Drosophila melanogaster: one gene and its partners. Changing the gene in region 1 together with any one later gene gives a genetic interaction. Each region holds a gene or a part of one and is shown in the gene's direction. Other genes may lie near its edges.

What was found.
Region 2: of osa (region 1) and ro, changing one suppresses a phenotype caused by changing the other (phenotypic suppression), as found in Drosophila melanogaster (2 studies listed by BioGRID).
Region 3: of osa (region 1) and net, changing one enhances a phenotype caused by changing the other (phenotypic enhancement), as found in Drosophila melanogaster (2 studies listed by BioGRID).
Region 4: of osa (region 1) and Kr, changing one enhances a phenotype caused by changing the other (phenotypic enhancement), as found in Drosophila melanogaster (2 studies listed by BioGRID).

The regions. Positions count from the first base shown.
Region 1 is NT_033777.3:17,715,314-17,720,002, reverse strand, and holds the start of osa (osa), read left to right. Parts: upstream 1-1,652; 5' UTR 1,653-2,047; intron 2,048-3,068; 5' UTR 3,069-3,236; coding exon 3,237-4,151; intron 4,152-4,689. Other genes in the region: Pxt (Peroxinectin-like), read right to left, coding at 267-432. UniProt on the Drosophila melanogaster protein: Trithorax group (trxG) protein required for embryonic segmentation, development of the notum and wing margin, and photoreceptor differentiation. Required for the activation of genes such as Antp, Ubx and Eve.
Region 2 is NT_033777.3:26,876,253-26,882,970, reverse strand, and holds ro (rough), read left to right. Parts: upstream 1-1,799; 5' UTR 1,800-1,865; coding exon 1,866-2,406; intron 2,407-2,511; exon of another isoform or gene 2,512-2,625; coding exon of another isoform or gene 2,626-2,886; intron 2,887-3,134; coding exon of another isoform or gene 3,135-3,377; exon of another isoform or gene 3,378-3,492; intron 3,493-5,194; coding exon 5,195-5,429; intron 5,430-5,801; coding exon 5,802-6,078; 3' UTR 6,079-6,200; downstream 6,201-6,718. Other genes in the region: CG5500 (uncharacterized protein), read right to left, coding at 2,626-2,886, 3,135-3,377; ms(3)K81 (male sterile (3) K81), read right to left, coding at 6,461-6,718.
Region 3 is NT_033779.5:81,900-89,034, reverse strand, and holds net (net), read left to right. Parts: upstream 1-1,647; 5' UTR 1,648-1,942; coding exon 1,943-2,015; intron 2,016-4,757; coding exon 4,758-5,767; 3' UTR 5,768-6,614; downstream 6,615-7,135.
Region 4 is NT_033778.4:25,224,623-25,231,901, forward strand, and holds Kr (kruppel), read left to right. Parts: upstream 1-1,988; 5' UTR 1,989-2,329; coding exon 2,330-2,366; intron 2,367-2,739; coding exon 2,740-4,211; 3' UTR 4,212-6,772; downstream 6,773-7,279. UniProt on the Drosophila melanogaster protein: Krueppel is a gap class segmentation protein. It is involved in the segmentation of the embryo and in the differentiation of the Malpighian tubules.

The DNA.
Region 1 (4,689 bases):
TTACGAAATAAAAATAACCATAAAAATATAATTTTAAAATTGAAGAAACAATTATACTTTTATATTATATTGTATTTAATTTTACAAAAATTTGATTTTGTTAATTATGTAAATATGAAAGTTTTTTATGCAGTTGTTTTCAGTGTAGAGCGATTAACCGTAACTTATATTCACAGAGAGCGGACAAGAACACTTTCACCCTTTACGCCATTTTGAAATTGCCGAGATATTCAATTTATATCACTAAACGTACATATGTAACCAACCTTTTTCGGGTTTCTTAGAAGATTCAGTGGAAGTGGCCAGAGGTGCAGGAGTCTGCAAATCAGGAACTTCATCAAAACGATTTTGGCGCACAGAAAATGCTGCCGCCTGCAACTCGCTCAGTTGCGTCACAATAAGTAGCAACAAAATAAATAAAATGCGACTCATTATGCGTTTAATGAAACATTTGTTGGCTTATACTTAAAAAAGAATCGACAAGCTCAACCTAATCGTGTTAAATTGAACTTAAAATGCCGCCATTTTGCACTCGATACCAGGAATGCTCGATATCACAGCAAGTCGAAAGCAGTGTACTGTAATTCTCGTACGTGTGCTGTTAATGTCAGTAACATTTTACTGTTAAGCGCAACTTCTCTTATTAGCAAATTGTGCAAGCAGTTCAAAAAATAAAAATGTTCAATATAGAATTTCATTAATATTATAAAAAAATAAACAAATATTTTTTTAGTTGATATCCTTGGCAAAAAATATTTTTAAAACCTATGAGTAAAAATCCGGAAGCCAGTAAATCGAAAACCTAGTGTTCTACCAAAATAAATTTAATAAATTTTAACAATGTTTGTGACAATGATCAATGCATAGGGCGACTATTGATATTTAGAGTTTCACAAAAATTAAAATGTATTGCATCAATTAAAATTAATAAAAGAATTTGTTTTTGTGGATTAATTACGTTGATGTTGTTTACGTCTATTTTAAAATTGCTTATGCCGGTAGTTTTGTATGGAATCGATAATAAGCAAACCAAAAATCACGAATATATCGATGTTTAAACTCGCTGTAGTTGCATAGTTCTGCCACTCTAAATTCAAGTGGTTTGTTAACGGGGGTATAAACTTTCAAAATTGTATTTACTCTCTTATAACTTACCAAAATTTTATTATTATTATATTATTGCAATTATTGCAATTTTGCAATTTACCTTAAAAACTTTAAATTGACGTATTTCTAAAACGAAAGCGCTGGCCACGAATAAGGCTTTCTAGTTTTTATAACTTTTACATCTTCACAAACTTTTACGTGCTTTTATTCGAAAAAAATGGAAAATTTTAGCACGCCGTTTAATTTGAGTTAAGTTTCCGTTTAAAATACCGCAATAAAGATGGCGTCCCAGAGTAGCGAGAAATCGATATCGATGCCAACTCATTTTTGCGTCACACTCAAATATCGCTAATTCGCCAGCTATTGATTACCATATATATTTAAAAAGCGAACCAGAACGTAAAATAAATATTCATTGAAGTCCAATAAATAAAAATAGTATAAAATATGGATAAAGCGATAAAATTTCGTGCTAGAGCTATCGGGGGCTATCGAAACGAGCACCGATAATGTATCGCAGTGCCAAATACTCGTACGTATCGATACTATCGTGCGTGCTACCCGCTCTAATCTTGTACAGGCTCGCTTCTTCGTCATGCTGCGAATTTGTTCGAAAAATAAGTGAAATACAGCGCATTAATAGTGAAAAGTATGTGCAGCCTGTGCAGGGCCCAACTGGCGATTAGCCGCGTGTGATTGTGGCCGCCGTATCAGCGTTTTGGCAGCGCCCAGCCTGGCGAAAAACCATCGAAAAAAAGAAGAGAAAAGAACGCCAGGCGCAGACAGACAAGACTTGCATACACTACTACTTGAATCGTTTCATTTCGTTCCGTTCGTATACCGAGTTTGCTGCCCTGTCCCTGTCTTCTCACGCGAGTTCGTTTTTAGTATATATAGCCAGTCTGTGGACGGTCGTCAATGCGTGAATATTCTTCTATGTGTAAGTGGTGTGCGTGTATGTAGATTTCTGGTTAAGAAAAGCCCCAAAAACCAAAGCGCCCCGCAAAATATATATTGAGTCTTCTTGGCCCAACAACAAATCTGCCGCCGGACTTTCGCCCGAGGGCGAGTGAAAAATTCAGTTTCTCTCCTCTCGACGATGCACTTTGGAGGCTGTGTGAGTGTGTGTGCGAGTGAGTGCGTGTGTGTATACATATGCAAATGATTGGATGTCGAATCCTTGCATCATCATCATCTTCATAAACACTTGGCGAAAAACCGCAGGAAAACGCAAGCAGCCGAACAAAAAAAGAGAGCCTCTCAAGACAACGGCAGCGGCCAAAAGTGAACGCGCAACAAACGCGGCCAAGCAGGCGCGGCAATTATTTATAAATCTTAAGCGTTAGCCCCCCTCTCTCTCCCACTCACGAAAAGAAAATAAGTTAAACAATTGTGAGATGATGCCCCCTCGTCCATTCCATTCCAGTGCTGTGTAAACGCGAAAAATCGGCATAGAAAATAATTACGAAAAAATCATTACTGTGCTGCCCGTTTCATTCGTTTCACACAGAAACTAATAAAGCGAGCAAGGGAGAGAGTGAGCGAGCGAGCGAGAGCGCCATATGCCTTCAGCCTGGATGGCGAGCAAGTGCAAGTGAGACGGAAAGGGATACGGCGTGTGCGTGTATAGCCGCCAAATGTGAAAAGAGAGAGCGAGAGCGCCAACGAGAGTGGATGCGCTCAAACTGCGAGAGCGGTTGCGGCAGGGTTGTCAACGCACTACGATTTGCCCACCGTACGCGGCGGAAAATAAATTGTTGTGGTATTGGTGCTGCCTGTTCGAGTGAGCATGTGTGTGCGTGTGTTAGTAGCGGACTTTTCAATACACAACAGCCCACGAACGAGTACAAATTATTTATGTTTAACCCGCTCGATTTAGGCCCAGTGATATAGGACTGCCCCCTTTAATAAGCCAGACCCCCTTTGCCAAATGCTAATCCCCCGTTTTTGATAACTTGCAGCTAACATAACCTCAAACTCGCCGCTGCAGTCGTCGTCATCATCAGCGTCAGCGTTGTTGTTGTTGGTGGTTACCGGTGTTCCATCAGTAGCCGCCACACATCTGGGAAAATCCGATCCGGAAAATCTGGGAGATCGGGAGCAGCGCAGCCAGAAGCCGATGAGCAGCCATGAATGAGAAAATAAAGTCGCCGCAAACACAGCAGCAGCAGCAAGGTGGCGCTCCCGCCCCTGCTGCCACGCCCCCATCGGCTGGAGCGGCTCCTGGTGCCGCTACACCGCCAACCTCGGGCCCGCCCACACCCAACAACAACAGCAACAACGGTAGCGATCCCAGCATCCAGCAGCAACAACAAAATGTTGCCCCACATCCATACGGCGCACCACCGCCCCCAGGATCTGGTCCTGGAGGACCACCAGGACCGGACCCAGCTGCAGTCATGCACTATCATCATCTGCACCAGCAGCAACAGCAGCATCCGCCACCACCCCATATGCAGCAACAGCAGCACCACGGCGGACCTGCACCACCACCGCCCGGAGGAGCACCTGAGCATGCGCCCGGTGTCAAGGAGGAGTACACTCACTTGCCGCCGCCTCATCCACATCCGGCGTATGGTCGCTACCACGCCGATCCCAACATGGATCCATATCGCTATGGCCAGCCGCTGCCAGGTGGAAAGCCTCCACAACAACAACAGCCACATCCTCAACAGCAACCCCCGCAGCAACCGGGGCCCGGTGGCTCACCTAATCGTCCGCCCCAGCAGCGCTACATACCCGGTCAGCCTCCGCAGGGACCCACGCCAACGTTAAACTCTCTGCTTCAGTCCTCGAATCCGCCGCCTCCGCCGCAGCATCGCTACGCCAACACCTACGATCCCCAGCAGGCGGCCGCTTCGGCGGCAGCGGCAGCGGCGGCTCAGCAACAGCAGGCCGGTGGACCCCCTCCACCAGGACATGGACCGCCGCCACCGCAGCACCAGCCATCGCCGTACGGAGGGCAACAGGGCGGCTGGGCACCGCCACCAAGGCCCTACAGTCCGCAACTGGGACCGTCACAGCAGTACAGGACACCACCACCGGTAAGTGATCAAAAAGGGGATATTTGGGGATAACAAGGATAACATGCTTTTTTGGGATAGAAAAGTTGTAAATTGAAAGGTATATTTAGTTGCGTTCACGAGAAATCATTGCAAGTCCATAAAAATGTTTGAAAGTTCTGTAGATACAAGATATTGTGGAAGATACATCTAAAAGTCAAGAGTATTCGGCTTAAATAGTCTCCGAACTTGAAATAGTTGTAAATACTTTGTTCCGGTGTAATACGTTGTTTAGGAATGCCTTGAAGTATTTACCAAAAGCAGTGTTTTTATGATTCGTTTTAATTCACAGCTTCCGAAAATAGAAAATGCGGTTGTCTTTTCAAGTTATAGTATCTTATTTCATATTTATTCTCAATATTGCGGGGGCAACCTTCGGCTTTAAAGTAACGAAAAACTGGATGGTAGCTTAAACGCCTTCCAGGATAGAAACTTAATGAAAAGGACACAATAAATGTTGTGTATTCTGTAACAAAATAACCATTTTCCGAAAAGAATATTAAATGATCTAGTTGTTGCA
Region 2 (6,718 bases), 9.2 Mb from region 1:
TCAAAAGAAATCCCACAATAAGCCCCTCGCGAATGCCTCCGCCCACGCCTCTGCATGTGCAAGCGGGATGGCCAGAGGCAGGAAGTTCTGCGTGCGAGCGAGAGGCAGCGTGCACCCTTAGCGCCGCTCATAAATGTCAATGGAAATGAAAAGGCTGATGTTATTGTTTTTTTTCGTTTGTTTTTGGATGGAAAACAGAATGAACAACATGTGGGTTTCGCTTTATTAAACATCGCCTGGAGGAGGAAATGCCGAAGAGGCTCTACACACGACAAAAAATATACAAACATTCTAAAGACTCAAAACACTATGCTTAAATATTTGCAAATTTATTTTAAGGTCTTTCAGCACAATGATGTGATGTATTGATGTATAAATTTAAGGTTACTGTTTGTAATTCATTAAATATGATTGTTTTGCAATTGATTCCAATCCAGTTTGATTACTTTTTAAGTCGAGGTTCATGTCTGAATTTCATTTTTCTGTGCAACCAGAAGGTATTTATAAATTGAGCTCAAAAAAATAAAACGCACGAAAAATGTTCAAAAAATTTGCATATGTCAGTGTAACAAAAAACCGAAATTGATGGATGGAAAAAAGTCGGCGACTGAAAAACACACACTCGCGGGCTTAAGCCAAATAAGCTCTAAACGAAACGAAACGAGTTTTAACAAAATATTTTTGCATTGCTCAAACGCAGCTCAGAGCCGTCAGAGAAACAAACACAAATGCACGCCGGGGCCAAATAAAAGCCATTCAATTAATATCCGGACAGAAAACAACAAACAAAAGTCGCTGCAATTTTTCTGGTTTTATTTGTTTTGCACTGCTCCCATTTTGTGGTGTTTGAGGGGATATGGGAATTCGATAAACAAAATCGAAATTGGCCAAAATCGAAGGGATGTACCTTTTTTTTTCTTATTTTCGTCACCACTTGTTGGTCTTTGTTTATTGTTATTATTCTTTATTGGCACTTTCGGTGGCTGCGACAGCTGCGCGAACTAACGGTACGTGCAAATCGGTTGCGCAGCGCAGACGGATTGGCAACATAACCGTAATCGTTTGTTTTTGTTTTCGTTCTTTCGATCACTATCACTTCATCGATACTTCTTTCCCAAAACAGCACACGTTTACGCACCGAAGTTTTGGGAACACATTATCCATGCTGATATAATCCACGAACTCGACTCGACTCGATTCGATTTGATTCGATCCCTCGCGCGCGCTATGTAAAATTACAGATAGTGGCGCGATTCGGTTGCTTATATAGACTTTTTGCCATTTAGACGGACCGTTTATGGTAGTTTGAAAAATGCATGAAATACATTGAAGAAGCAAATGCTGATTGCCCACCTCTAGGGATCTCGCTCTTAAGGTTGTTGTCCTCGCAAAGCACTGGCGAGGTAAGAAACTTGGCTAAACCAGGGACTGTACGCACACACTGCTTGTATGAAGACGTGAGTACTGCTTGCTTAAGAGTGGGCGGAGCTTATTTAGGCACACTGCTTGCCACCCTTAAGTGAAACTTTGGCCGGAAGTAAAATTAGGGGTTAATTGCACGGCACTTCAGCCAATCAAACCGGGTTTCAGGCCACACTTCAGGTGTTTAGTGGGAAGGGGGTCCTTTTTTTTTATTATTATTATTAGTAAGCAGCATTTTAGGCGCCCCCGCTGCTGCTGTTAATTTTCTGATGTGCCGCGTAATTTGCTTTGTTTTTTTTTTTCACCCAGTTCCTCTGCCGACGTCGACGTCAGGATAAGCGTCGCTTGACCAGCGGAAGTAGAATTATTTGTGGCACTTCAGTCGCTCGCCGATTACCCAAGTGATTAGTTTGGACAGCTAACGCGGCACATCCTCAAACGAAATGCAACGTCACAAAGTTGAGATTGGCTCACCCGACGGCTCGCCGGGCATCAAAAGGAGTGACAGCTTAGATCCCATAGCGAACACTACGATTCTATCCGTGCCGCAACGTCCCTCGTCGCCGCGACAGTTTTTCGAACGTCTGTACGGGCATTTGGAAACGCGCTCCTCGGAAAATGGGGAAATCGACGTCGGAACACACGCCCACAAGCCGCCGCCCTGTGACACGCCCTATCACAGCGATGGAGGAAGCGTCTCCTCGCCAGACATTTCCATCAGCGATGAACGCACCTCGCTAGCCGCATATCCCGCCTACGATTTCTATGGTCACGCCAAGGACTATCCGCAGCATCCTAGCCAGCAGCACCAGCAGCATCATCATCATCACCATCATCCGCCGCAGCTGGTGCACCAGAAACTCAGCTACGTGAGCCCGCCGCCAGCAATTGCCGCCGGTGGAGCTGCGAATCCTGTCCTGCCACACGCATTCCCAGCCGGCTTCCCAAGTGACCCGCACTTCAGCGCCGGCTTTTCCGCATTTCGTGAGTACTTACATTTAAAAAAGAATGGTTTCTAACAATGTGTAGAATATTTGCAAAGCTATGCAGAATCTTTAGAACTACGAAAATAACTTCTTCAGAACCTTAACTCTTACATGTTTATTTTGAGGTTTCTTAGTTCTTACACACTAAGTACAAGAGTAAATTTGAGCTACTACGAATTTGGTCCTAACTAGATATTTAGGTGAGCGGGGATTTGTACTACGGCGGGGGCGAGGATTTCTTTGGCTTTCCCTGCTTCGCTGCTTTCTCCGCCGCCGCCTTCTCCTCCCGCTGCTTAGCCATCTGGCGCAGCTCCAGGCTGAGGAACATCTTCAGGTTCGGGTCGGTGATCTTGCTCAGCACAATCTCTCGCGCCTCCTCATCGTTGTCGCCCAGCAGCTTGGCCAGCGTCTGTGCGTAGTCCAGCCAAACGCAGTTGGCGCAGCCCGACATGCAGCAGGTGGTGGGCTCGGGAGGTATCTGCAAACGATTATATAATATGCAATCTCTTGAGCCACTTTCCTCTTAGGATAGAAAGTTATTTCAGTATTGTGATAACAATTGGATCCTTCGATAATACTGCTCAATAGTTTTAGAAGTTCATAGAACTACACTAAGTTTTGTGTTACAATACTAGATCGATGATCCTTTCTTTCTAATGAACTACAATCTTACCAACTGATATTTAACCTATAATAGCAATGATAACAACTAGCTTACAACATTACCTCTATGTTTCTGAGCCGCTTCCTTCCCTTGGTGGTTTTATCTTTGGCTTTGGGAGTGTCAGTGCCCGTCGTTGTGCTATTGGGCGGACAGCCACTTGCTGCCTCCTGGGCGGCCGCATCCTTGCTGCTGGCATCATCCTGGGAGCTGCTGCCCGACAATTGGCGGGCCAGTGAGGCCCAACGCTCGGCGCCACGTCGCAGGAGCAAGCATCGCGGACAGCTGAAGCCCAGGGGAGCCAACATTTCCGCCCGATCCCCGAAAGAGTTCGAAAGTTACGATTGAAAAGGCCCAGAGGAAGTGATGAGCATTTCACACGCCTGCGCAGGTGCAGCCCAGATGAACTTGGTTCCGCAGGAACTGCAAAAAAAAAAAGTCGGATACGCAAAAAAAAACTGATTAATCGTCAGTGCTGCAATATTGAATATCCCCCACATCTTCGCACCGAGTGCGCTGGCCAGGATTATGTAAAATCAGTTGGAAAAAAATAAACGAAACTAAGGTGGGGCAACCAAGCAATGCCACACAATGAGCTGCTGCTGCTGCTGCTGCTGCTGACCCCCAAATGCAAAGAAATTAGCCAAGGAAAAAAAATAACCGAATGCCAAGAAAAAATTAAAACGCATTGAGCCGTGAAAGTTTTCGTTTACTTGCGGCTTTTTCGTTTGCTCCTGATGAGGTGGCCAAGGTGGCCAGGTGCGGAGATGAGGTTGAGGGGATATTGAAACATGGAAATGCGTCGGCTAATGAAAATGATCGCAGGTTAAGGGTGAATGGGTTAGCCATTCGTAAGCAAGAAATCAAAGTTAAAGACACTTTGAAACCTTTTCTACGAGCAGAAACGTATTCTACATATGCAAGCATTTTTTAGATTCAGAACAGTTGATATATTTAATGCTAAACCAGCTTGGTAGTTACTATAAGTACTTGATCTTTAAATTAACTAACTTACAAGCCAAACTTTTGGTCAATCTCAAAAAAATAACAAGTGTCTGAAAAAATTAGCATTGTAATTGAGCTCGGCAGGAAACCTAAAAAAGCAAACACAAACAGCAAGCGAGGAGGGTTAAGCGAGGAAGACTCATTTTTAGCCACAACAAACCGTCCGAAAGGACACTTGGCTATCGAATTACACACGTGATTTAAAAAAAAAAAAAAACCTTCGGCAAGGATCAGGGAAGAGCTTAAGCCCCTCCAGAGCCATCCGGACTAGGGGTAATCAAGCAAAAGCTAGAGATTACAACGCCCACAAAGCAACCCCTTCCCGGGGAAACCCCCCCTCCCCCCCCCCCACCATCCTAACACCACCGAGCAACTTGTCAGCTTCGCCTTGTTACATCAATTAGACTCTAAACCGCAACATTCACCATGGTGTGGGTGTTTGTGGTGGGTGTTCCTGGGTGGCAGGTGCTCGTTGTTGCAGGATGAAGTGGGGCATAATGTGCGCTTGGTTGAGCTTCATCGTCGGCGACACTGCGAATGCAAACAATCAAACGACAGAATGGAAAACTCGAAAGAGCGGATGATGCCGAGAATTTCGACGAGGATGATGATGATGATGATGGCCAGCCAGCTGTTGGCATTGTTATAACTTTCCCGGATCAGCATAGATTGCCGAAATGAAAAGCGTGGTAAAAAAAAAAACATAGAGAACAGAAACTACGTGGTAAATGCACTTTTAATGTGCACCACAAACGCGACCGACGACGAATTCTGGCAGGTGGGCGGGCGGAGAGAGCAAGAGAGGGAGGACGACGGATGGACCACGGATCGGAGTGGTTAATTATTTGTTTAACTGACGCAGCGACACGCAACCACATTCGAAAACGTTTAGTCCCGCTCATAACTTGATGGTTTGTTAATGTAAGATTAATTTCGCTCTAACATCTCCATTGTGTTGGACATAAACGAAAGTGGGTGGGCTGTGAAAAAATGATGCTATCCGACGGATGTCGTTATTGTACACACTGAATGGTGCGGGGTTTACATAACTAATAAGCTGATTCCAACTAGATATTATACACGTATTAATTGTAAGGATATCAATGTATTTGACTTTCAGTGGCTCGCAGGCGACGCAAGGAGGGAAGACAACGCCGCCAGAGGACCACTTTCAGCACAGAGCAGACGCTTCGCCTGGAGGTGGAGTTCCATCGGAACGAGTACATCTCCAGGAGTCGTCGCTTCGAGCTGGCCGAAACGCTGCGCCTGACCGAAACGCAAATCAAGATCTGGTTCCAGAATCGCAGGGCCAAGGACAAACGCATTGAAAAGGCTCAGATCGATCAGCACTACAGGTGGGTTTCCCCTTTAGCTAATTTGAATCGTTTTTTCTGTTTCATATGTACAAAGATATCATCGATTTTGATTGAGTTAAATAATATTAAATGAACATAAATTAATGGTTGATGAATAGCTCGTGAAGAGGATTTTAACTGGGTATTTATACCTGCATTTTCGAAACGGAAGTAATTTAGTGAAATGTCACTAGTTTAATTGATGGCCAACATGAAATTAACACGAAATTAATTTTACGACATTTATGCGCACACAGACCCAATTAGACGATATCATTTTTTTCCATATTTTTTTTTTTTTTTTTTTTTTTTTTTTGTGCCGGAGGGGGTTGCTCGAAATTATTTTGTACATTGATGTAATCAATTTTTCAGAAACTTTGTCGTGGCCAATGGTTTTATGAGCTCTATAATGGGTCAGGCTGCCACGACCATGCCCCCCGGAGGCGTCACTGGGGGCGTGGCGGTGGGCGTGGGCCTAAACTACTATGCCGCGGCAGCGACGCCGGCAGCGCTGCCCAAGGATAACACGCAGGATGCCAATTTCATCGACATCGATGACCAGTTCCAGCGCCAGCAACAACAAAAACAACAACAACAGCAGCAGCAGCAGCGACGTCGAGAAACAACAACGCCTATTAACATTTGCTAATACTTGCTAATTGATTACATTTATTTGAGCTTTAAACTGTTTAGATTAAGATCGAATAAAAGTCATTGTGAAAACATAACAGATTGCAGGAATTGCACTTTTCGAAGAAATCACTCACTGCTTGCCAACAAACTTACGTGTGTTGTTATGGACTCAGCATTTTGCACTTGATTTATTTATATAAGAGAGGGTTTTTGAGGGAAAACCAGGAAATTTGTTAAAAACCAAACAGCAAAACTAACAAACAATAATGCAGCCCTGGTGCTCAGCCAGCTGTTTCTGCTGCTAATAACATGGCGGAAACTATCGATAGATGGTTACATAGATGGTAACAGTGTTATTTCAAATTTAATTTATGAAAATATCCTAAATGAAACAAACATTATCCCCCAGTAGTTCCCGCCAGATAAATGGCCATAGCTTCACGATTTAGATGCACAAACTGGCGCCTTTTCGGAATTGGTTGGACATTCGGTAGCCGCGTTCCATTCACGGCATTCAAACTCAGATTCGAGCTGGGATCGTAGTCATCGGAGAAAAGTGTATCGTCGGAAGAATTGGACTCAACCAACTGGCTTCCTGCTCTTTGAGCCGCCGCCGCCGGCGCTGCGCTAGTGGTTGATTCTTGCTCCTCCGAGGA
Region 3 (7,135 bases), on another chromosome or scaffold:
ACTTAGAGCCCGTCCTCATACAGAAGCCAAATCAGTAACCGCAACTTTACCTAATTTTAAAAAAAATCTTTGCAAATGATTCCGAAGTAATTCTAGCTGGGGCGTACGGAAAAAATGGTTTACTTTTAAAGGAACAGATCAAATTTCGCCGACACGTACACGAACCATTTTTGGAAGTCCAGCATTCTTATCCTTGAACTTCCAGCTTGACAAAGGCTTGATCGCGACCTAAACGGCGGTAGCGGAGGACTGCTCAGGTTGCTACACTGGAGATTGTGAAGTCTGGGGTCTGTCCAATCGAAGAAAACAGGTTAGGCCGCAGCCCAATCGCATACTTTAAAAGCAGAACAAGTCTCTAAAAAAACGAAAGTCATCATTCAAAAAGCATTTCGCGCGACAGACTCAAACTCGTGCCCAGTGTACATCTGCTAAGGATATCAGACAAAAAGACGAAAAGAACCCTAATGATATTAGGGAACTGGCTCTTGCATTCATTCCAGCGGCAAGTTTTTTGTTGTGCGGCGTTCGAAAGAATGATCAGCAAATTTAAACTTTTTCCTAGAACTGATCTTTTTTTTATCCAAAACGTAAGGAGGTATTCATCCTGACTTAAATAAATTTCCAAATACAAGCATATACATATATACATACATAAATATAAAAGAAGCCATGATAATCCAACTTACAAAATTATGACGAGTTCTGTTTAAAAAAATACATACGTATCAAATAAAATATTTGTAAACTATCTAAGAAACTGACCATTCTATGCCTAAAAATCGAACAGCTTGTGCAATACTAAAATTAAATGTTGACATTATTAAGACCGTTGCTTTTACTTTCTTCGCCAGTGCCATCCGCAGATGAAATACATACTAATACATATTTTATCACGTATGCACAAATGAAATTGACGCTGGTATATGCGTTGTGTCCAGCAGCAATGTTGCAAGAAGAATAAACTGTTTTAATAAAGTCCTGATTATGATAGAGGCTTTAACAGCCTTATAAGTCAAACTTTGCAAAATGGAGAGCAGCCGAAATTAATTAATCTTACCTAATTCAATGGCATTTAAGATCTTTTTCTGTCCAAAATATTGAATGTATATTCATCCCGATAAGTTTACAAAAAGTCAAAAGACATTTTGTCATTGAAACATAAGTAAGGCCGCAGAAAAGTAATACTTGCAATCAATAAGTTGAATACAAATTTTTTCTAGTCGCAAATCTCAAGCGAGCGAATATTTTCATTCATAAAACTAATAATGTGGTAGTCAAACATGTTCGACAGCGAACCGATCCAGCGGTTCGTACCACAGTGCTGGCAGGTCTTTCTGCCTAATATTTCTGGTGCCAATAAGTTCAGAGGCCTAGCAAACTTAGCTGTTCAAAATTTTGCTTTAAAGTATTTATATATTTCTTGTAAAGATAAATACTTTATTTCTTATTAAGCATATAATTTACTTATGGAAGAAATATATTTTCTGGCTAAGGGCGCAATTTTTTTCAAGCCATACACACATTAGGACAACGGACTCTAAAAAAACTGAATGGTCAACACTGATAACCAAACGCAGTTCGACCGCGTGCTGCTTTTAGCATGAAGCCAGCCGGTCCCTGGCGCAGGCCATTTCAATCCGCAAGATATTTTCAATCCGTCAGATACTTTCGTTGTGAACAGTCGTGCTCCGGTCAGAAGATTTTACGAGAAATCGTGAAAATAAAAAGTTCTAATAAGTTGAAGATAGTGCCAAAGCTCACATACGGCTTAACCAAACCACAAATTAAAAAAGTGCCTTTAAACAATACGTGACATTTCAATAGGTTTATGTTAACATAAAGCCCGTAATTGTGAATAAATAAAATATAAGCCCACAAAACTATTCAAATACCGTTTTCGGATACGCGCTACTTTTAAAGTTCTTGAATGTCCTTCGCGGCTATGGCGAATACCAACACAGAAAAACTTTACATGCAACTAAGCGCATCGGAATTATCAGCAATTATTATGAAAGGTGGGTATTTACCTTTTGCACGAGCAAAGGACACTGCACCTGTTGCCTGCGAATTGTGCGGCACCTGCAAATACTTACATAAATATACACACCTACATACATAGGTTTTTTATGTCTTGCAGTCGGATGATTATAATCATTTCCCGCAAAATATTTGTCGACAATAATTTGTCAAATAGCTGTATATTCATTTTTGTAATCGAAACCCAAAAAGAACGAATACAATCATTAAGGCAAGGAGGCTATGGCCCAAGGCTATGCAATAGACACTGAAGATAATTGACGACCAACATTGTTAATAGGGGGTGCTGCCGTGTGCACCCAGAAAGCCCCACCAACTAACACGTTGCAGCAGAATCATATTAGCAGCAGACTTGTGAGGATGGCAATTAAGATGCAGACAGATACGTAAATAAAGCCAACTATGTGTCGCCAGCGTACTCCAACTTTCGTCTTGTGTTGCATATGTCGGCCAAGCACTTTGCCCGCAATGGCGAATTTGGGACGACGATGTCGCCAGACATATTGGCAATTTGTCTGTTTGTGAAGCTGGAGCGACAGTTGGACTCTGCATTGTGTGTCCCTTTTCACCACCGCCTGCTGATTGTTATAATGTTCGAGGACAGACGTTAACTCCTTCCATATTGTTGGTACTGTTTACGTCAGCATTTCATAAAATCGATTTTATTTTTTGTTTCTGTGATCATTTATTTAAAATGCTAGTCTTAATCAGCAACGTTTCGAAATGATTAGTCTAGATGGCCATTGGTTTGGATAGAATAAGGTGTCTTTAATTTAAATTGATCACTATGAGTTTATAAAAATTCCACTTATATTATTTTACTACATAACGCAATGTAGTAACAGGAAAGCCGAATGATATTGGGTTCGTTTTATAACCAACGTAAAAATGTCCTTACCAAGTGTGTCAAAGTACTGCATGATCTGGATGTGTTCTTACGATTCATTCATAAAAGTGATGCGTCATTTTACTACAATATATTTCATATAGTCGCTATAACATATTTACATTTATGTACGTATGAGTATATGCACTTGTTATGATAAGACGAGGCTTCCCACACAGGGAACGCTTCCCAGTGGACCGACCGCCAGCCAAAAGCCGCCTATGATGATAACCTTTCGTTGACTTTTGGCGTGAATATGGGATTTTCTTATGCCTCTGACAGTTAATGTCTGCCGTTTTTAAGTAGGTTTTAGCTGATTTTCGCAGGAGGGCATTCATTCTTAGAAAAAAAGGCCAATAACGGGAAAACCGTTGTCAATTTCTGAGCAAAACTTGCTATTTTGTACTTGGCACCTAAAGACGGATCAGATCCATAAAAAATAAACTAATTTGGGCGTACAAAAAACATCTTAAAATATTCTTAATATAAACAATCGAGAATAATACCTTCTTCCGTGTATACTAAAAATAAAATAAAATGTGCAGGTATTGCCCTTTGGTCGTTAGATGTAACTTTAAGTGTCTGATACGGACAACTTAAATATAAATTGGTAGAAATTTATTTTTTAAAAACTTGGCAAGCTTTAAAAATGTTTCCGTTTGGCACAGGTGTTTTAAACTAGACGACGCCTGCGAGGACGGTGGCTTAAAAGTAAACATTTGTCTAAATATAAATTAAAATGCGGTATATAAACCACGCAAGACATGGGATAGAGTTAGGGCTATAAAACTGATGTTATTTGTACAGCCTGATTTCGTGGCCGCAATGTCAGTCAGTTGCTTTGAATTTCGTTTCGTTGTTTATCTGCCTAAAATTAGAAAAGATAGCAGAATATTGTGCTTATAAATAGTTGAATAAACATGCAAAAAGCTTACCTTCCGTAAATGTGTGTCCGCACCGGTTCAAACAAACAGGGAATAAATTTACTCATTCTTAGCCAACTTAGCTTAAGTAATTAATTTAAAATTAATAACAAGTAATTATTGTATGTATGATTGCTGACAAACATATACATATATATAATGGATAGGCTGATAACACAATAATTGATTACAAAAAAAATTAGCTGTTGAAGACAAAGTTTTTTTTTGCTTAAATACCGGAATACTTATAAATATCCTAGCAGATTCTATACCTTTATACTTTGCTGGCACAACCAAAGTTGAAATCGCAAACAAATTCGATCCATGTATGTATGCTCGTTTATATGCATTGTGATTTTTTTTTAAATTGCTAACCGGGTTGTTGGCTTCTGATGCAGTGGCTGCTTCATGCTGAACTTGAACTGGCTTTATTCGCCAGACTTGAAATAAATTACTTTTAACAAGTAAGCTGCGTTTCGGCACTTCAATACTTGTGGAGGTCAGTGGTAAATTAAGAAACCTGTTTTGTTTTCGTGATCAATGCATAATTTCACTTTATATAATGGACTTTCTTCTCATGTAACCTCCGATTTGAATGTATTAAATAGATTTCATAGGGTGGAAGAACATATTATAGATAAGAAAATACGTCAAAACTACGTCATCCAATTAGTTTCGATCAGATGGTAATAAAAAATAGTAACTAAAGATTTGGGATTTATTGAATTTTGAAAAGTCGAAGGGGTGTCACACAAAGGCAGTCGCAGCCCTATTCGGCTTGCTGGCCTGTTCCGCGAAAACGGGGGTTTTTTTAAATTTACGAATACGAAATGCCAAACATTAGTAACCGGTTCGGCGTAATACGTCACAGATAGAAGATAACTAACTCTTAAATTTTTTGGTATTTTTAGATTCACCCAATTCCAACGACCGTGATGCGGGTTTTTGTTCCGCCAGTTCGGAAAGCGAAGGCGGAGACGACTTGGTCGTCGAGCACGCGCGCAGTGGCAGTCCCGACATCAGACCAAAAGGAACAGACTCGGCGGACTCCAAGCCAATAGCCCTTGTCCGCAACAAACGCAAGAGTTCGGAACCCTTCAAAGTCGTAGGTTTGACGACTCCCAACTCTAAATCCATGCCTGGTCCTCCGTCCAGTGCGAGTATGAATGCAACTGGTCCGCTAAAGAAACGCATACGATACACATCTTCCGCCGATTCGGCAGTTGTCCTAACGCCACCAGCCATAGACTCTCCACCGCCCAACAGTTGCATACCTTCCACGTTGCGCCTGCAGCATGAAATAATGCCTAATCCGGCACATATATATGTTCGCCATCCGGGAGTTACGACTCTTCACAGATCGCTTGCTGCCCACCCAGAACAGCTGGAACCACTCGCATTAGTAACGACCAAAAAGCAATGTGTCGACCAAGCGGGGCCTAAAATAGAGGCCTTTTCCGCATTGCTAATTGGAAAACAGCCATCCGCCAAAAAAACGTTGAAGGAAAGGACGCAAAAAGAATCAACGTCATCTTCCTTTTTAGAAGCTAGTCTTAGCGATGAGGATCTGAACAAGACGGGATTGGCACCAATTTCGCGACCTCATCAACATCAACGCAATTACAAGAATATGACTAGGGAGCGCCGCATTGAGGCGAACGCACGTGAACGGACCCGTGTACACACCATATCCGCCGCCTACGAAACGCTCCGCCAAGCTGTTCCAGCCTATGCCAGCACTCAAAAACTTTCCAAACTCTCCGTTCTTCGGGTAGCGTGTTCCTATATACTAACCTTAAGTAGAATGGCTGGCGAGGATTACAGCGCCGATCAATCCGTACCGTCCATTGCCACGTGCTTAGAAGCTGTAACATCAACCATCCAAACGGAGGGAAAAGTGAAACGAAAGAAAGACGAGTAATCTGTCCAGTTTCGTGGATAACTTACTTTTTTAGACTTTAAATGCGACTGATTTCTGCTATTTTTTTAAATATTTGTGCTTAAGCTTAGATTAATCTGCATACAGCATTCCTATCCACATGCTTTGATTCTTTGCCAGAAGTGGCCTAATAGCTTTAAAAGTTTTCAAGGCTTTGTTAGATATACAGACTTCATGAGTTTAAAAAAAAAATTTTTAAGTATGCCTGCATACAATTTGTATTTGATATTGACATTGTTATGAATAAATACTAGCGATGTGATCATAATTTAATCTCTACCTACAGAAACATTTTAGTCAGTACAAAAAGTCAACGCCATCTATGTACGAGTGTATAAAAAGACAATAATCGGCATCCTTAAAACCTATGTAAATGACAATAATGTAAACTATATATTTACCTAAAAAAGTTTCAGTTTCTTGTTTCAAACAGGATTTTTATATCAATTTACAAGTTTTTAAAAGAAGCTTTGCCAAAATGTTGTAATTTCACCATCAACTTTAGTTACCTTAGGACTGAATATGAAAATGTATATTTTTTTACATGTACCTCTATAATAAGATCAATTCTTCTTTTACGAATTGCATACAACAGAGATAATCAGTAGTAATTAAAAATCCGTAGTTACGAAATTAAATAAAGAATTTAACAAATTTCAGTTTATGTAAGTAACTGTAGACGTTTCCTCTTCAATTGTAATCTCATTGTTTTGTATACATTGATATATTTGTACCCATGTATACATTCATAAGTGTACGTGCCATAGAATCAGGAAATACACAAAACTTACTATAAAGAGAATGTATTTTTATATAGAGTTGGGATTTCAGGTGGTCGCGGTTAAAATATTAGTCATCTGGGTGCAAGCGCACTAAAGGAAACCATATAGAAATGACGGCTTTAAGGGTTATTTTATGTCTGTACGTTAAACAATCTTATCGTTTGCAACAAGCTATTTCGTGATATTAAAAACTCAACAGGTGCGCAAAGAACGGCACGCTATCGATTTAAGTACACCTGAACGCATCCACGTTATCGTAACGAGTTTTGGCAAAACTTAGTCCCCTTATCAGGTTCGGAAATATATTTGTCAGCTTATCTAGCAGGCACAAAGTTTACCAATATCACAGTAAGTTGACAGTGCATTAGAACTCATGACGTACTCTGAAAGAACTCAACACTATTAACTATGCATATTATTAACAAAGTAACTGCATCTAGTTGACCCAGTGCAATATCCAGAACAAATTACATCAGCTAAGAATCCTATAGAAAACAGGTTAAAAACAGCAATTTCCGATCAGTACATATATAATGACTTGAGCATTGGCGTTATTCAACAAAGAGCA
Region 4 (7,279 bases), on another chromosome or scaffold:
GATGACAACCCTCGTTTTCACTTCATATATTTGCTCAATAATTGATATATTCTTGCGAAAAATAATATAGTTTAAAATGTTTTAGCTTAGCGCGTGGTTTCTTTGAAAATAAAGCTTAGCGCGATTAGAATATGAGTTTGACCCAGCTTTACAAACTACTCATTAATATTAAAGAATAATAACTAACTAAACTAATTTTGTTGACCCAGGTAAGTTCCCATATTTCGGACCTTATCAGCGGCCTCGACCATACGCACTTTACACGCACTTCTGCCCCATTCACTCGGAAATCTTTAGTTCGCTTTGCCAATCAAAATCTAGTCTATTTTTCTTTTACTCGCTTTGATACTATTCTAGTTTAGTGATTGCCGACAAAGTCATTAACGATAAGGCCCGGATCTTATTAAAATCTGTTGAGCTTAAGTGGATCTTTCAATATCAAGCCTCTGCTTATCACGCAAACAACCAAAAAAAATTTCTGACTAATCGCCGAAACATAGGAATCGTATGAAGATTTTCTAAAACCGGTCAGCTCAGCCCGAAATTTAAGAATTTCTTATCAATAGGGTCAGTTTTAAGCGCTTTGCTTGCATATTATTTAATGCCTTCTGCGAATTTTGTTTTGGTGAAAAACTTTCTATGAAGTCGAACATTCGATGACAAAACCATTATAATTTTACGTAACATTATGCAGAGCAAGGATATTTGTGTGCCTTTCTGCTTTTGTTTGGTTTCACTTTCTTAAAATCCACGGTAGTTCAAATTTACCACCCGGTGAGCTCTGAGCGTCCTTGGCCTACCTACAAAACCAAAAATACCGATTTTCAACATAAATTTAACATAGCATGTCCTTGCCATAAAAATCTACATAAAACCATTTAAAAGTCAATCCGCAAAAGTCACAGAAAACGTCTATACAAGCAAGAAAATTTCAACGATGCAGCTCTCTTACAATTTTTTATTATATTTCCTTTCTACCTGAATCCGTTTTTTACTAGTTCCTTTTTACGATTTCTTTTTTAGACGTGTGCCAATAATTAGTTGTCCATTAAACTGAACTTCCACGTCTTTGAGACTTTGCTCAACAGGCTACAAGGAAGACAAAAAACTCACTCAGTATAGCTGGTAAAAAACCGTCGACCTTCTTTCTTACTTTCTGCACTCCTTAAGCCGATGTTTTGTTTACTTCCTGTTTACTCGTACAGCGCACGCTTGAAATTCAACCCCGTCCGTGACATCTCTTTTCATGAATTTTGGCTCTTTTGCTCTCGCTGTTTCATTTTCGCCCTGTTCTCCATTGGCGTTCATCCCCCTTAGACACATTAGTTATTTTCTATAGCTCAAATGTAAAAAGGGGAAATGACAAAGGCACATCTGAGTGAGTTTTTGTTGTGCGTCCCTTACTAACTCTAAAAACTTCTACGTGATCTTTATGTGGTGTAATATTCCTGCAAGTGCAGTTTTTATGAAGGCTCTAAAAAACACAAGCGGAAGTGGTCATAAGCATTAAAAAATGTCCTTTAACGGTCAACACATAGTTCTGATTTTTTATGTTTTATTACTGACTAGAAACGTAAAGGTCATAAAACCCTCTACTCAGCGAAGATAATTCGCATCGACAACCTATGTTAAAAAACCACATCGTCCATATTTGACTCTAACTGACTATATATCTTTTGCATTGAAAGGAACCTCTAGCTGTCTCATTCGCACCAATTTGCATATGAAAAATTAGCACTTTTAGGTATAAAAAGGAATCGATGAAATCAACTCACTCAACTCAGCGAAGTACCCAGTTTTTACTTTACCTGCTCAGGCTTGGGGATCGTTTTTCGCTTTCGCCGTGATGATTTCCCTTCCTGTCTGCACCCTTATTTGCGTGCGTGTGAGCGGGAGAGCCAATTGAGTCCCGGCGTGTGTGCGTACGAGGGTGAGTGAGAATCTTTCGCCGAGACAGAGCGTACTTATAGTTAGCTCACGCAGCGAATTTGTATCAGTCGTGATTTGGCTCTGTCAGCGAAAGGAACAACCATTTGTTGTGCCACACACAACCGCGAGTAATATAATCGAATCAAATTTCAACTACCTCATTTTGCTAAATCGGTAAACTTTTATAAAAGACAATTTTTGTGAAATCTCTCTACCTCAAAGTACAAAAGTGTGTACAAAAATTATTCATATCCCTGAAAGTGCACAAATTGCTCAAATGAAATTTTGTTGTCTAAAAAACTGAAGCTCCAAAACCACGAAGGCGAATATTATAGGTGTTTTCTGTGTGCGGGAAAACATTGCGCGAGCACAAAATTAGGAGCACAAGAAGAATTTGTTGATGTCCATATCAATGCTTCAAGACGCACAAACGCGAAGTAAGTATTAGACCAAATTAAAATATTCCCCAAGTTTGTAAACTATCTAGAAGTTCTAGAGTCCCCGATCACTTTCTCATTATTAAACAGTCCGATGTCTTTAGGATAGAAAATACAAATGTAATGTAATTGCACACATACCGATTAGTTAGAATTTGTTTACATGTTTGGACAGGAACCGGCACTTAACTCGTTATCGACCAAAACAAAAACTAGTTAGACGAAAATAGAGAGCTGCGAAAACACTAAGAGTTCTCTCCGTACGAAACTTTCTCTCACACATGTATCATATGTAAAATTTTTTTCTCTTTTAAGCCGTTGCTCTTAAGACATTTCCAAATGAAAACATACTAACTTATGATTTTTTTTTTAGCCTTAGCTGCTGCATTAGCTGGCATAAAACAAGAGGACGTTCATCTAGACCGTTCCATGTCGCTATCGCCCCCCATGTCGGCCAACACATCAGCTACAAGCGCCGCTGCGATTTATCCAGCTATGGGTCTCCAACAGGCGGCCGCTGCCTCAGCTTTTGGAATGCTCTCACCTACCCAACTTCTGGCTGCAAACCGTCAAGCTGCCGCATTCATGGCCCAACTGCCCATGAGCACATTGGCCAACACTCTCTTTCCACACAATCCGGCGGCTTTGTTTGGGGCTTGGGCTGCCCAACAGTCGCTCCCGCCCCAGGGTACGCATTTACATTCGCCGCCAGCCAGCCCGCACTCGCCGCTGTCCACTCCTTTAGGTAGTGGCAAGCACCCATTAAATTCCCCCAACAGCACTCCCCAGCACCATGAGCCAGCGAAGAAGGCTCGAAAGTTATCGGTTAAGAAGGAGTTTCAGACCGAGATCAGCATGAGTGTAAACGATATGTACCATACATCGGGAGGCCCAATATCTCCGCCTTCCAGTGGCAGCTCTCCTAATTCAACGCACGACGGAGCGGGTGGAAATGCTGGATGTGTCGGTGTCTCCAAGGATCCATCTCGCGACAAAAGCTTCACCTGTAAAATCTGCTCACGCAGCTTTGGCTATAAGCACGTGCTTCAGAACCACGAACGCACCCACACCGGTGAGAAGCCTTTCGAATGTCCGGAGTGCCACAAGCGGTTTACTCGTGACCATCACTTAAAAACCCACATGCGTTTGCATACTGGAGAAAAACCATATCATTGCTCGCACTGCGATCGTCAATTCGTTCAGGTGGCCAATCTTAGACGACATTTGCGAGTCCACACTGGAGAGCGTCCCTATACTTGTGAAATCTGCGATGGCAAATTCAGTGACTCCAATCAGCTTAAGTCCCACATGCTGGTACACAACGGTGAAAAGCCGTTCGAGTGCGAACGGTGTCACATGAAGTTCCGACGGCGCCACCATCTGATGAATCACAAGTGTGGCATCCAGTCGCCGCCTACTCCCGCGCTTTCACCGGCCATGAGTGGAGATTACCCCGTGGCAATCTCCGCAATTGCTATCGAGGCATCCACGAATAGATTTGCGGCAATGTGTGCCACCTACGGAGGTTCGAATGAGTCGGTCGACATGGAAAAAGCGACACCGGAGGACGATGGTCCATTGGATTTGTCTGAAGATGGAGCCAGCTCTGTGGATGGCCATTGCAGCAACATCGCACGGCGCAAGGCACAGGACATTCGTCGGGTTTTCCGGCTGCCTCCACCGCAAATCCCTCACGTACCCAGTGATATGCCTGAGCAAACCGAGCCAGAGGATTTGAGCATGCACTCTCCTCGCTCTATCGGATCTCACGAGCAAACCGATGATATTGACTTGTATGATTTAGATGATGCCCCGGCTTCTTATATGGGCCATCAACAACATTAGGCCAGTACCACACCGAATTGTACATAGCCCTAATCAGTTTTCATTTGATGAAATTGACTGGCATTTATTAACACAAAATTGAAAATTTTGCTATTTCAAAGTGGAAAGTAAAAATTGTTGCAACAGGAATATAATGATAAGTACAAGTTTAAAAAAAAATAACATACAAAAAAGTCGAAATTGTACAAAGTAAGCCATACCGTATGCTTGTTACCGCCAAACCCCACCAAATCAAATCGAAAATGTCGTGCCATTCTTTACCTTAAATTTAAGTTATATTCTTAGGTTCGGAATCTTAAATTGTACATATTCAGCTTACACAGCTGCCAATTGTAAAGTAATCGGCGCTCTAAACATGCATTGTTGCAGAAAAATAAAAGACACGAAGTTTAATTAGGAAATCTATAACTAATTTTATTTAATTTATTAGCTTAATTTTTTATAATTTAATCAAATTCTTTAAGAAAACAATGCCAATAATCTTCAAATCAAAACTAACTTTAAGTTAAATAATAAAAAACATTTGTTTGATAATTGTTCTGTTTGCATTCTCTATTTAAAACTATTATTAAATATAAAAATTTAGTTAATCCTGTTTTTTTAAAGATCATTCTTAAATGTACACTTTTATATTTATACTTCAATAAATATTTGGTTTAATTGTTGCTGCTTCAAATATAAACAATAAAGAAAAAAGAAAATCAATGGTAACGTTAATATTTAACTGATTCCGCTTTTATTTCATATTGCCATAACTTAAACACAGTTTACGCATCCATTTTTGAAAATCTTTTTTTTTTTGTTGCAAACTATAAGAAACGTTAATATATATTCCAAAATAATAACCTAATGTAGATCAATGCGTATCGAAAGTATAGTAATCCCACTTATCTTAACACTCGTAACTATTAGTTTTAATTGTAAGACTTGAACCAAATACACAGGAAGAAATTGCTATAACCAAATACCTCCAATACCTCTGTATCGAAATTGTTGTGAGCTAAACAGTATATACATTCAACAATTTGGCAATCGTACAATTCAACTGAATTTATATACAAGACTTAGGAATATAAACTACGAAGCATAAACAATTTATATGTATTAAAATTTTGATGCATATTTAAATGGACCTAAAATAAGAAATTAATTTTAAATACTAGGCCAATTCAAATTACATATAAAAGTATATAAGGTTGTATATAACAATAACAATTTGAAATAAATTTAGTGCAATTTTTCGTTCTATTCATTGGTAAGCTTACTGCTTTTATTTTAAAACGTTGTAGTCATAATAATGTAACAAATTAATATGTAATTTTCTTTGTTCATTCAAATGTATGGTATACAAGTTCCTCAAGATTAAAAGAATACAAGAGCTATAAACTAAAATAGAGAGTGCATTTCTAATCATTTGAAAGTCAGCGCACGAAAGACATCATATTAATTGTGTACAGCAACATTCGACGTTTAACCCAATAGATATAATTAAATTTATAAAATCACAAGTCAATTTTTATGTAAATAAATTATAATCCTAATTGTGGCTAGGGATGTGCAATGTATCAAAAAATAAGAGTTATATGTGTTAATTAGGGGGTTGCTAATTTTAACCCTTTAAAGACATACACACATACACCTTGTAAAATACGTCAGTAAATATAAACTAGAAAATGTATTTTATGGTACATGATTGCATTAGATATGTCAGTCTAGCATATAGTAAACGAAACTGTTACTTTTTGTCATAACTATTTCTTCTCTAATTTAATGTTCTACCTATATCAATAATAAATACATATGTATACATCGGCAAATATGTATTTATTACATAAAAATCGAAATATATTATGTTAAATTTAAAAATTGCTGTCTGGGAAACCAAAAATAAATGAATATAAATATATATATGTATATATATGTATATACATATGAGATAATTGTGTAAAGCAAAAAATATTCGTAGCAACCCCGCTTTAGAAAATTACCCACAGCTTTCTTCGATTTTTCGTAAAAGAGAAAACGGGCAGCATTACATAAATTTTTAATTTATGCAAACGAAGCCCTTTCGCATTATTTTACATTTGCCACAAGACGCCCCACTAATGCCGTCGCCACGTTCCTCCCCACGTCACCCCCTTTATTCATCCATCCCTTCACTGGAATTTAAATTTACGTCTGCAGGCAACGGCAGCAGCTGAGCAAAAACGAATATAAAAATCGCGCCGCGCAGTCAGAAAATGTCACAGTGTTTTTTCCATTTAATCTCCAGAGAGAGAGAGCAAACATCTACAATGCTATGAAAGAAAGTCGACGCCACCCACTCATACCAATCGCCTCCCGTTCAGCCATGCCGCGGAACTGACGCCTTCTCTTCTTTGTGCCCCTTTCAACAGCCAAAAAAGGCTTCATCCTGGCAGCCCCCTCTATATAAAATTGTATGTACAAGTATTACATAAAGAACGTCTTATGTACTTACACACGTACATATATAAAACGGAGTAAAAGAGTGAGACGCAGGACAAATGCTCACGTTTTGTGATGCTTATTAGCATTTTAGGCTTTTTTCGCTTAGACTTCTGTAAACATACTCTATGAGCGTATACGTAAATAAAAACAATTCAATAATTAAAAAGTTAAACGTAATGTTAGCCAAATAAACCTTATGCTAAAACTGTTTACCCTAATTTTACCAATAAAAGCTTATTATAAATAAGTTAAAAGAAGAAACGGGAATAAACTGGTAATTGCCAGTTTTATAGTGTAGATAGGTACGTATATCTTATTCGAACCCCCAATCCTCACCCTCAAAAGCTTTTTTTTTAGCTGCCGAGTAAATAGTTTGGTGTTGGACATAGAAAACTTTCAAATGAGTTTACGATTTTTTTAAATATTTCGTGTTCCGCAAAGGAATGAAAAATAAAAGGCCTTGAAAATGAATTTAAGGCCTTCGCTGGCAAAGAACCGCCGACGCACCCAACTTACTGTCGTTATTATTTAAACTGAAAAATTATAATTTTTACCAGCAGACTTCTGCTCACAAATTCTAAGACTGGCGCTTATCCAAG